2 linked regions of the Macaca mulatta genome follow. The protein of the gene in region 1 interacts with the protein of each later gene in a biochemical or structural test. Links are inferred from orthologs where the notes say so. Each region holds a gene or a part of one and is shown in the gene's direction. Other genes may lie near its edges. The genes, in order: LCAT and APOA1.

Region 1 (4,255 bases):
CAAAAACAGACCCAGTGGCGCTGGAATCTAGGGGTGGAGGTGGGGTGGGGCAGACAAGCGGTGTTAGGTGGACCAGGGGTGGGGACCCTCCTTGCAGGATGGCTTATGGTGACCTGTGATTGGCTGCACTACGTGTAGGGACCAGTCCAACGTGCGACGCATGCACACCGCTGTGAAGCTCAATGAAGTCATTGTCACGCGCTCCCACGACGCCCGCCTGGTTCTCCTAAACATGCCTGGCCCACCCAAGAACAGCGAGGGCGACGAGAACTGGATCCCTTTGTGGAGGGGCAGCAACTGGGAGGTGGGCAGCGTGGGAGGTCAGGCCAGCAGCTCCTCTCCCGGGCCCCCTGGGTGGGTGTGGCCCAGGTGGCCCTGGTTACCCATTGATTCTGTTGCTGCCTCCTTGACTTGAGGCCCTGCAGACATGGAGTTCCTCGAGGTACTGACCGAGGGCCTTGAGCGGGTGCTGTTGGTGCGTGGTGGTGGCCGTGAAGTCATCACCATCTACTCCTGAGCCCAGTGTCACCTTGTGGCCTGGAGTCGAGGTCTTGGCCAGGATATCACAAGCTGTGGTCTGGGGTAACAGCCTCTTCCCAGCACCCACTTGCCAGCCCTGCTTGCCTGGCCCTGTCCTGGACCCAGCTTTGCTAGGTCTCCTTGGAAACCAGGCCTGGGCCTCAAAATGGAGATGGATCCCAGGTCTTGTGGGACTGTGGGAGGTTTGGGGACTTTACTGTCTAGCACCCCAGTAGGCCTGTCCTGGCGAGAGAAGACTGGTTGGGGCCGAGTGGGGTTTGAAGGCAGCTGGCGCAGCCCAGTCCAGGAGCGCTATTTATTGCATATTTATTATTTGGATCTCACCATCAGAGACGAAGGGAAGGGTAGCCAGGGAGGGAGTCCAGCCCAGCTGCCTGCAGGAAGATCTGGCTCAGTCAACTATGGGCAGGGCCCCCCACCAAGCTGAGCCGAATGGAGACAGCCGAGCTGAGGCCTGACTTTTTCAATAAAACATTGTGTACTTCTGGGCCTCCTGCTGCCCCGGCTCTGTTTCCCCTGGCGCCAAGAGAAGAAGGCGGAACTGAACCCAGGCCCAGAGCCGGCTCCCTAAGGCTGTGCCCCTTTCCGGCAATCTCTGGCCACAACCCCCACTGGCCAGGCCGTCCCTCCCACTGGCCCTAGGGCCCCTCCCACTGCCACACCAGATAAGGCCAGCCCAGTGCCGCTTCCTCTGGCAGTAGGCACCAGGGCTGGAATGGGGCCGCCCGGCTCCCCATGGCAGTGGGTGCCGCTGCTGCTGGGGCTGCTGCTCCCTCCTGCCGCCCCCTTCTGGCTCCTCAATGTGCTCTTCCCCCCGCACACCACGCCCAAGGCTGAGCTCAGTAACCACACACGGCCCGTCATCCTCGGTAAGCCCCCACCAGGCCCCTGATGCAAAACGCCAGACCCTGGGGAGCCTGGGCCCCAGCCCCTGGCAGCTGACCCGGCCAAAACCCTTCTGCCCTGCATATGCCCCGGTGTAAGTACCTGCCTTGGTGTGGGGAGGGGCCAAAAGCTTGTCCCATAGAGGAATGACCTCCCTTCTCCCCGACGCCCGACTACGTGTCTCTCAGTTGCCTACCCCAGGGGGGCGGAGTGGGGGACAGGATGTGCCTGAGGTCTTGGCTGGGGCATCACAAGCTGTGGTCAGCCACAGCCACACCAGACTCTGGGCCAAACCCCACCACTCCTTCCTTGGCCCCCACCCACCAAGGACAAGATGCCCAGCCCAGGACCGGTGAGCAGGAGAGGCCCATCCATGCCCGGCCCCTATTAAGCCCAGCCCCCCTGCCCCTAGACCTATCTGTTCCCACCCTGGACTTTGGAAATAAAGGAGCGCCAGGCTGGGTGTTTGCTCTGCAGAGGCAGGGGTCAGCGGCCTTGGCCTCAGCACCTCAGCACCTTCCCTTCCTCAGGGAGGCCTGGGCTTTGGCTACTGGGGGGACAGCGGGGAGAGGGGGTGTGAGCAGGGGAGGGTAAGTGTGCTTTGTACCTAGGGTTGAGGGTGTGGGAGGTTGGGGGTGGGTCTAGTCACTGCAGCATCTGGGGTGACTGGGGTAAGGGTCACCGGGGGAATCCAGAGTCCAGAGTGAGGGCCACTACTCACAGTGCCCGGCTGCCTGGGGAATCAGCTAGAAGCCAAGCTGGACAAGCCAGATGTGGTGAACTGGATGTGCTACCGCAAGACAGAGGACTTCTTCACCATCTGGCTGGATCTCAACATGTTCCTACCCCTCGGGGTAGACTGCTGGATCGATAACACCAGGTACAGCCATGTGCTCCGCCCCAGCCCCGACACACTGCCCCTTGGCTATTGGCTGCTGAGTGGCACCCCCGCCCTGCAGGGTTGTCTACAACCGGAGCTCTGGGCTTGTGTCCAACGCCCCCGGTGTCCAGATCCGCGTCCCCGGCTTTGGCAAGACCTACTCTGTGGAGTACCTGGACAGCAGCAAGCTGGCAGGTTTGTGTCAGAGGGCAGGGCTGGGGCTCCAGGCTGGGGTGCTGGCCCGCAGCAGGCACGGCCCAGCCCCCGGTGCTGCTGCTCCCCCCACAGGGTACCTGCACACACTGGTGCAGAACCTGGTCAACAACGGCTACGTGCGGGACGAGACTGTGCGCGCCGCCCCCTATGACTGGCGGCTGGAGCCCGGTGAGTGTCTCTACGGATGACCAGCTTGGGGTGGGGCAGGTGCCCCGGACCCCAACTGCCCTGACCCCTCCCACCCACTGCAGGCCAGCAGGAGGAGTACTACCACAAGCTCGCAGGGCTGGTGGAGGAGATGCACGCTGCCTATGGGAAGCCTGTCTTCCTCATTGGCCACAGCCTTGGCTGTCTACACTTGCTCTATTTCCTGCTGCGCCAGCCCCAGGCCTGGAAGGACCGCTTCATCGATGGCTTCATCTCTCTTGGGGCTCCCTGGGGCGGCTCCATCAAGCCCATGCTGGTCTTGGCCTCAGGTGAGAAGGCCTCGACCACTTAGGCCCAGCGATGGGTGAGACGAAGCTGATCCTGGGCCTGCCTTCATTGCGGCTCCTGCTCACGGTGGCCTCTGGGGGTGCCATCTACCACCCCTGGGCAGGCATGCTCGCTGTCACTGGCCTCCAGAGCAGTGACCCTGGCCTGAGCAATTAGGGTGGCTCCTTCCAGAGTCTGTGTCAGTGATGGCAAAAGGGCGGTGAAAACAGAAAGTGAACCCCAGCTATCTGCCCCCAGGTTTGTTCCTTGTAGCCCCAGAGCCTGCCTACCCAACCCTTGCCTGCCTTCCGCTTGCTCGCAGGAGTGCCTTTGCCGAGGGATGTGCTTTACTGAGGATGGGTCTGCCAGAGCTAGGGCCAGACCCCCCGGAGCCCCGCCTGCCCTTCCCTAGGGAGTGGCACCAGGGCCCAGCACTGACACAGCTACCACCTACTCCCCACCCCCTGTACCGTGGGAGCTGGTCTGGAGAGAGAAACACAGTCTGGACAGAGAAACACTCATCAGACACCACCAATAAATGCCAAACAGACACCATCTTGTTTCTCCCTTTCTGGAGCACAAGTCTGTGGCCCCCAATGCAGCACAAGCCACACAAGGAGCAGAGAGACACATGCCCAAGGGAAGACAGCCAGCACCGCCCTGACCATCCCCACACATCCCGGGCCTCACCCACCATCCCCACACACCCCGTCCTCAGGAAGCCCCGCCTACATTTTTTTTTTTTTTTTTTTTTTGAGACAGGGTCTCACTCTGTTGCCCAGGCTGGAGTGCAGTGGCACGATCATAGCCGCAACCTCAATCTCCCTGGCCCAAGCAACCCTCCTGCCTCAGCCTCCTGGGTAGCTGAGACGATAGGCATGCACCACCACACCTAATTTATTTTTATTTTTTAGTAGAAACAAAGTCTTGCTATGTTGCCCAGGCTGGTCTCAAACTCCTGAGTTTAAGTGATTTCCTGCCTCAGCCTCCCAAAGTGCTGGGATTACAGGCGTGAGCCACTGTGCTGGGCCTTTTACAAAATACTTGTTTATTTATTTTGAGATGGAGTCTCACTCTGTTTCCCAGGCTGGAATGCAGTAGTGCAATCTCCGCTCACTGCAACCTCCGCCTCCCAGGTTCAAGTGATTCTCTTGCCTCAGCCTCCCTAGTAGCTAGGATCACAGGCATGTGCCACCATGCCTGGCTAATTTTTGTATTTTTAGTAGAGACGGGGCTTCCCCATGTTGGCCAGGCTGGTCT
Region 2 (4,122 bases), on another chromosome or scaffold:
TCTGGGCGATGGCATGTTCTATCATTATCTTCAATCAGAAACTGATGTGTGGGGAGGTGACGCATCGTAACTCATCCAGGGTCACACAGCTAGTAAGTGGCAGAGCTGGGATTCAAATCTAAGGTTTTCTGGCTCCAGAATCTTCTCTGAAGTGAAAGGCATGAGGCCGACCACTCCCTGATCTGGTAAACAGAGATGTCAGGCTGGTTTGTAGTGTTAGGGAGTTTCCTGGGGTGATGGTACAGGGCACATGTCTGCCCTGCATCCTAAGTCCAGAGACTGGGTTCTAGGTCCAGCCTTGCGTCTAACTCCCTGAGAGATGAGAGCCTTTGGGCAAAGTCCCTCCGTGCTCTTCAGTCTGTTCATCTGTGAGATGGTGGCGTGGGAAGGGGCTGGAGTGATCTCACAGTTCTTCTCAGCCTGCATCACGGGCTCTAGGACTCAGGTCCTGTCAGTAACCTGCTGGGGGAGGTCTGGGCCTTCCAGGAGAAACCTGACAAGATGATGCTGCAAACACGAACGGACACACTGCACTTTACGTTCACAGGCTGTCTCAGGGGCCTCCAAAAACCCTGACCATTCTTGCCCCATTTTGCAGATAAAAAACTGAGGCTCAGAGAGATTACATAACTTGCCCACAATCTTCCTCCAGCAAGATGGAGGCCAAGTGAAATGAGAAAGGTGGTCTCCTGCCACTTCCTTACCCGAGGGTCTTCTCCCCACACCAGGGCTTCCCGAGGGCTGAGATCCAGTCTCACCTGTGCGTGATCAAATGTAAGTGTGAACAATGCGAAGGGAGACGTCTTCAATCTAAGGGGCTTCAATTCTGTAATGTAATTCTGAGATTATGCCCTTTTTTTGTTCAAGTCTTTCCTTTTTGAAGTGATGGTCTTTACAATATCTTTACAAGACAGAATTAAAAGTTGGCAGCTCTGAATCAGTCTCAAGAGTGTTTTGATGCAAGAGGTCTCCGAAACCTCAGTCTGGGAGCCACGGAGCGCTCTCCCCTCTCCCCAGGTTTACCAGTTTGGGAGGCTTGGAGAGAGGCCTGGAGGACCTGCTGGGGACTAAAGAAGCGCACTGGTGGGAGGACAGGACGGGGGGAAGGGGAAGGGGAGTGAAGTAGTCTCCCTGGAATGCAGGATGGTGGGGGAGGAGGTCTCCTGGGTGGAGGAGTCCCAGCGTCCCTCCACCCCCTCCTCTGTCAACACAATGGACAATGGCAACCGCCCACACACTCCCATGGAGGGGAAGGGATGAGTGCAGGGAACCCCGACCCCACCCCAGGGACCTGCAAGCCTGCAGACACTCCCCTCCCGCCCCCACTGAACCCTTGACCCCTGCCCTGCAGCCCCCGCAGCTTGCTGTTTGCCCACTCTATTTGCCCAGCCCCAAGGACAGAGCTGATCCTTGAACTCTTAAGTTCCACATTGCCAGGACCCGTGAGCAGCAACAGGGCTGGGGCTGGGCTTATCTGCCTCCCAGCCCAGCCCCTGGCTGGAGACATAAATAGGCCCCGCAAGGGCTGGCTGCTTAGAGACTGCGAGAAGGAGGTGAGTCCTGCTCCCTGCTCCGGGTGACTCTGGCTCCCCAGCTCGAGGGTCAGGCCCTGCTCCAGGCCGGGCCTCCGGGTACCTGAGGTCTTCTCCCACTCTGCGCCCTTCTCCTCACCTTGCTGCAATGAATGGGGGAGCACCGGGCTTCTGCATGCTAGAGGCCCCCCACTCAACCAGCCCCTTCTTCTCCTCCAGGTCCCCCACGGCCCTTCAGGATGAAAGCTACGGTGCTGACCTTGGCCGTGCTCTTCCTGACGGGTAGGTGTCCCCCAGCCTAGGGAGCCAACCATCGGGGGGCTTTCTCCCCAAACCCCTGTGGCCCACCCTCCTGGGCAGAGGCAGCGCCCTCTCCCCCACCTCCAAGCTTGGCCTTTTGGCTCAGATCTCAGCCCACAGCTGGCCTGATCTGGGTCTCCCCTCCCACCCTCAGGGAGCCAGGCTCGGCATTTCTGGCAGCAAGATGAACCCCCACAGACCCCCTGGGATCGAGTGAAGGACCTGGTCACTGTGTACGTGGAAGCACTCAAAGACAGCGGCAAAGACTATGTGTCCCAGTTTGAAGGCTCCGCCTTGGGAAAACAGCTAAAGTAAGGACCCAGCCTGGGGTTGAGGGCAGGGGCAGGGGCCAGAGGCCTGTGGGAAGATGTTGAAGCCAGACTGGCCGAGTCCTCACCTACTATCTGATGAGCTGGGTCCCACAGATGGTCTGGATGGAGAAACCGGAATGGGATCCCTATGCAGGGTCACAGCCCATGCCCCCTTGCAAAGGACAGACCAGGGCTGCCCGATCTGTGATCACAGTGCCACATTGTGCCTGCAAGTGTAGCAGACCCCTTTCCCTTCTTCACCACCTCCTCTACCCCTGCCCAGCAAGAGTGTGGGCTGTCTTCGGAGAGGCGAATGTGCTGGAGGCATAGAAGCGAGGTCCTTCAAGGGCCCACTTTGGTGACCAACGTAACTGGGCACCAGTCCCAGCTCTGTCTCCTTCTTAGCTCCTCTCTGTGCCTCGGTCCAGCTGCACAAAGGGGCATGGCCTGGCGGGGCAGGGGTTTTGGTTGAGCGTGTACTGGAAACGCAAGGCCACTGCACCTCCGCGAACAGGTGTTGCCCAGGGCTCACCCCGGTAGGCTGGGGCGCTGGGAGGCCAGCCCTCAACCCTTCTGTCTCACGCCCCAGCCTAAAGCTCCTGGACAACTGGGACAGCGTGACCTCCACCGTCAGCAAGCTGCGAGAACAGCTCGGCCCGGTGACCCAGGAGTTCTGGGATAACCTGGAAAAGGAGACAGAGGGCCTGAGGCAGGAGATGAGCAAGGATCTGGAGGAGGTGAAGGCCAAGGTGCAGCCCTACCTGGACGACTTCCAGAAGAAGTGGCAGGAGGAGATGGAGCTCTACCGCCAGAAGGTGGAGCCGCTGCGCGCGGAGCTCCACGAGGGCACGCGCCAGAAGCTGCACGAGCTGCACGAGAAACTGAGCCCGCTGGGCGAGGAGGTGCGCGACCGCGCGCGCGCCCACGTGGACGCGCTGCGCACGCATTTGGCCCCCTACAGCGATGAGCTGCGCCAGCGCCTGGCCGCGCGCCTTGAGGCGCTCAAGGAGAACGGCGGCGCCCGCCTGGCCGAGTACCACGCCAAGGCCAGCGAGCATCTGAGCACGCTCAGCGAGAAGGCCAAGCCCGCGCTCGAGGACCTCCGCCAGGGCCTGCTGCCCGTGCTGGAGAGCTTCAAGGTCAGCTTCCTGAGCGCTCTGGAGGAGTACACTAAGAAGCTCAGCACCCAGTGAGGCGCCCGCCGCCGCCCCCCTTCCCGGTGCTCAGAATAAACGTTTCCGAAGTGGGAAGCCGCTTCTTTCTTTTGGGAGAATAGAGGGGGGTGCGGGGACATCGGGGGAGCCCGGATGGGGCCTTTGGCCCTGGAGCAGGGACTTCCAGCCGGAGTTCAACAACTCCGTGCCCAGACTGGGCGTCTTAGGGCCAAGATCGACGTTGGAGGACCTGCTGGACGCCTGGCTGCTTACGAGTGAGGGAGTAGAGTCTGCCTTACCAAGGCTCAAGTAGAAAGGAAGTCACAGTGGACCAGGCAAAGCCACAGACAATCCAAGGCCAGCTGCCCTGAAAGGGACTCAGACAAGGCCTGCAGCCCTGTCTGGGGCAGGACAGGAAACAGGGTTGCTTTAGTTGGGAGCAGTGGGTTCCCCGTCCCCAGAGGTGTTCCGTACAGAGCCTTCTCCAGCCCAGTCGCTGTCAGCGGGGCGGGGCGGGGCGGGACGGAGCGGGGCGGCCTCAGGGAGTCACTGGGATTGGGGTGTGGCCCCGGGTGCAAGTGAAGTGCTTGGAGTTTGAGCGCCTCCTCCTTTATGAATTCAAAAACTTCTCGAACACTTCCCTTTTCTTCTCACAAGGCCAGTATCCCCCTCCCACTACTCCCATCCCACCCAGAAACAGCCACCGCTTCCTCAGGCACGGCAGTGTAAGCCAGCCCTCCACCCGCTGCGGCTCCATGCCATGCCACCGGCTCCATGCCATGCCACCCCCTCTTTCCGCTAGCCCTGGCAGAAGCTGGCCTGAGT

The links.
Region 2: the proteins of LCAT (region 1) and APOA1 form a complex in vitro, tested with the Homo sapiens proteins (6 studies listed by BioGRID and IntAct, with this or other methods). The link is inferred for Macaca mulatta from reciprocal best matches to the Homo sapiens genes LCAT and APOA1.

Annotation. Positions count from the first base shown.
Region 1 is NC_133425.1:63,520,059-63,524,313, reverse strand, and holds the start of LCAT (phosphatidylcholine-sterol acyltransferase), read left to right. Parts: upstream 1-1,236; 5' UTR 1,237-1,255; coding exon 1,256-1,409; intron 1,410-2,101; exon of another isoform or gene 2,102-2,148; coding exon 2,149-2,305; intron 2,306-2,384; coding exon 2,385-2,689; intron 2,690-2,772; coding exon 2,773-2,997; intron 2,998-4,255. Other genes in the region: SLC12A4 (solute carrier family 12 member 4), read left to right, coding at 139-415. UniProt on the Homo sapiens protein: Central enzyme in the extracellular metabolism of plasma lipoproteins.
Region 2 is NC_133419.1:117,509,501-117,513,622, reverse strand, and holds APOA1 (apolipoprotein A-I), read left to right. Parts: upstream 1-1,516; 5' UTR 1,517-1,771; coding exon 1,772-1,814; intron 1,815-1,986; coding exon 1,987-2,143; intron 2,144-2,732; coding exon 2,733-3,336; 3' UTR 3,337-3,393; downstream 3,394-4,122. UniProt on the Homo sapiens protein: Participates in the reverse transport of cholesterol from tissues to the liver for excretion by promoting cholesterol efflux from tissues and by acting as a cofactor for the lecithin cholesterol acyltransferase (LCAT).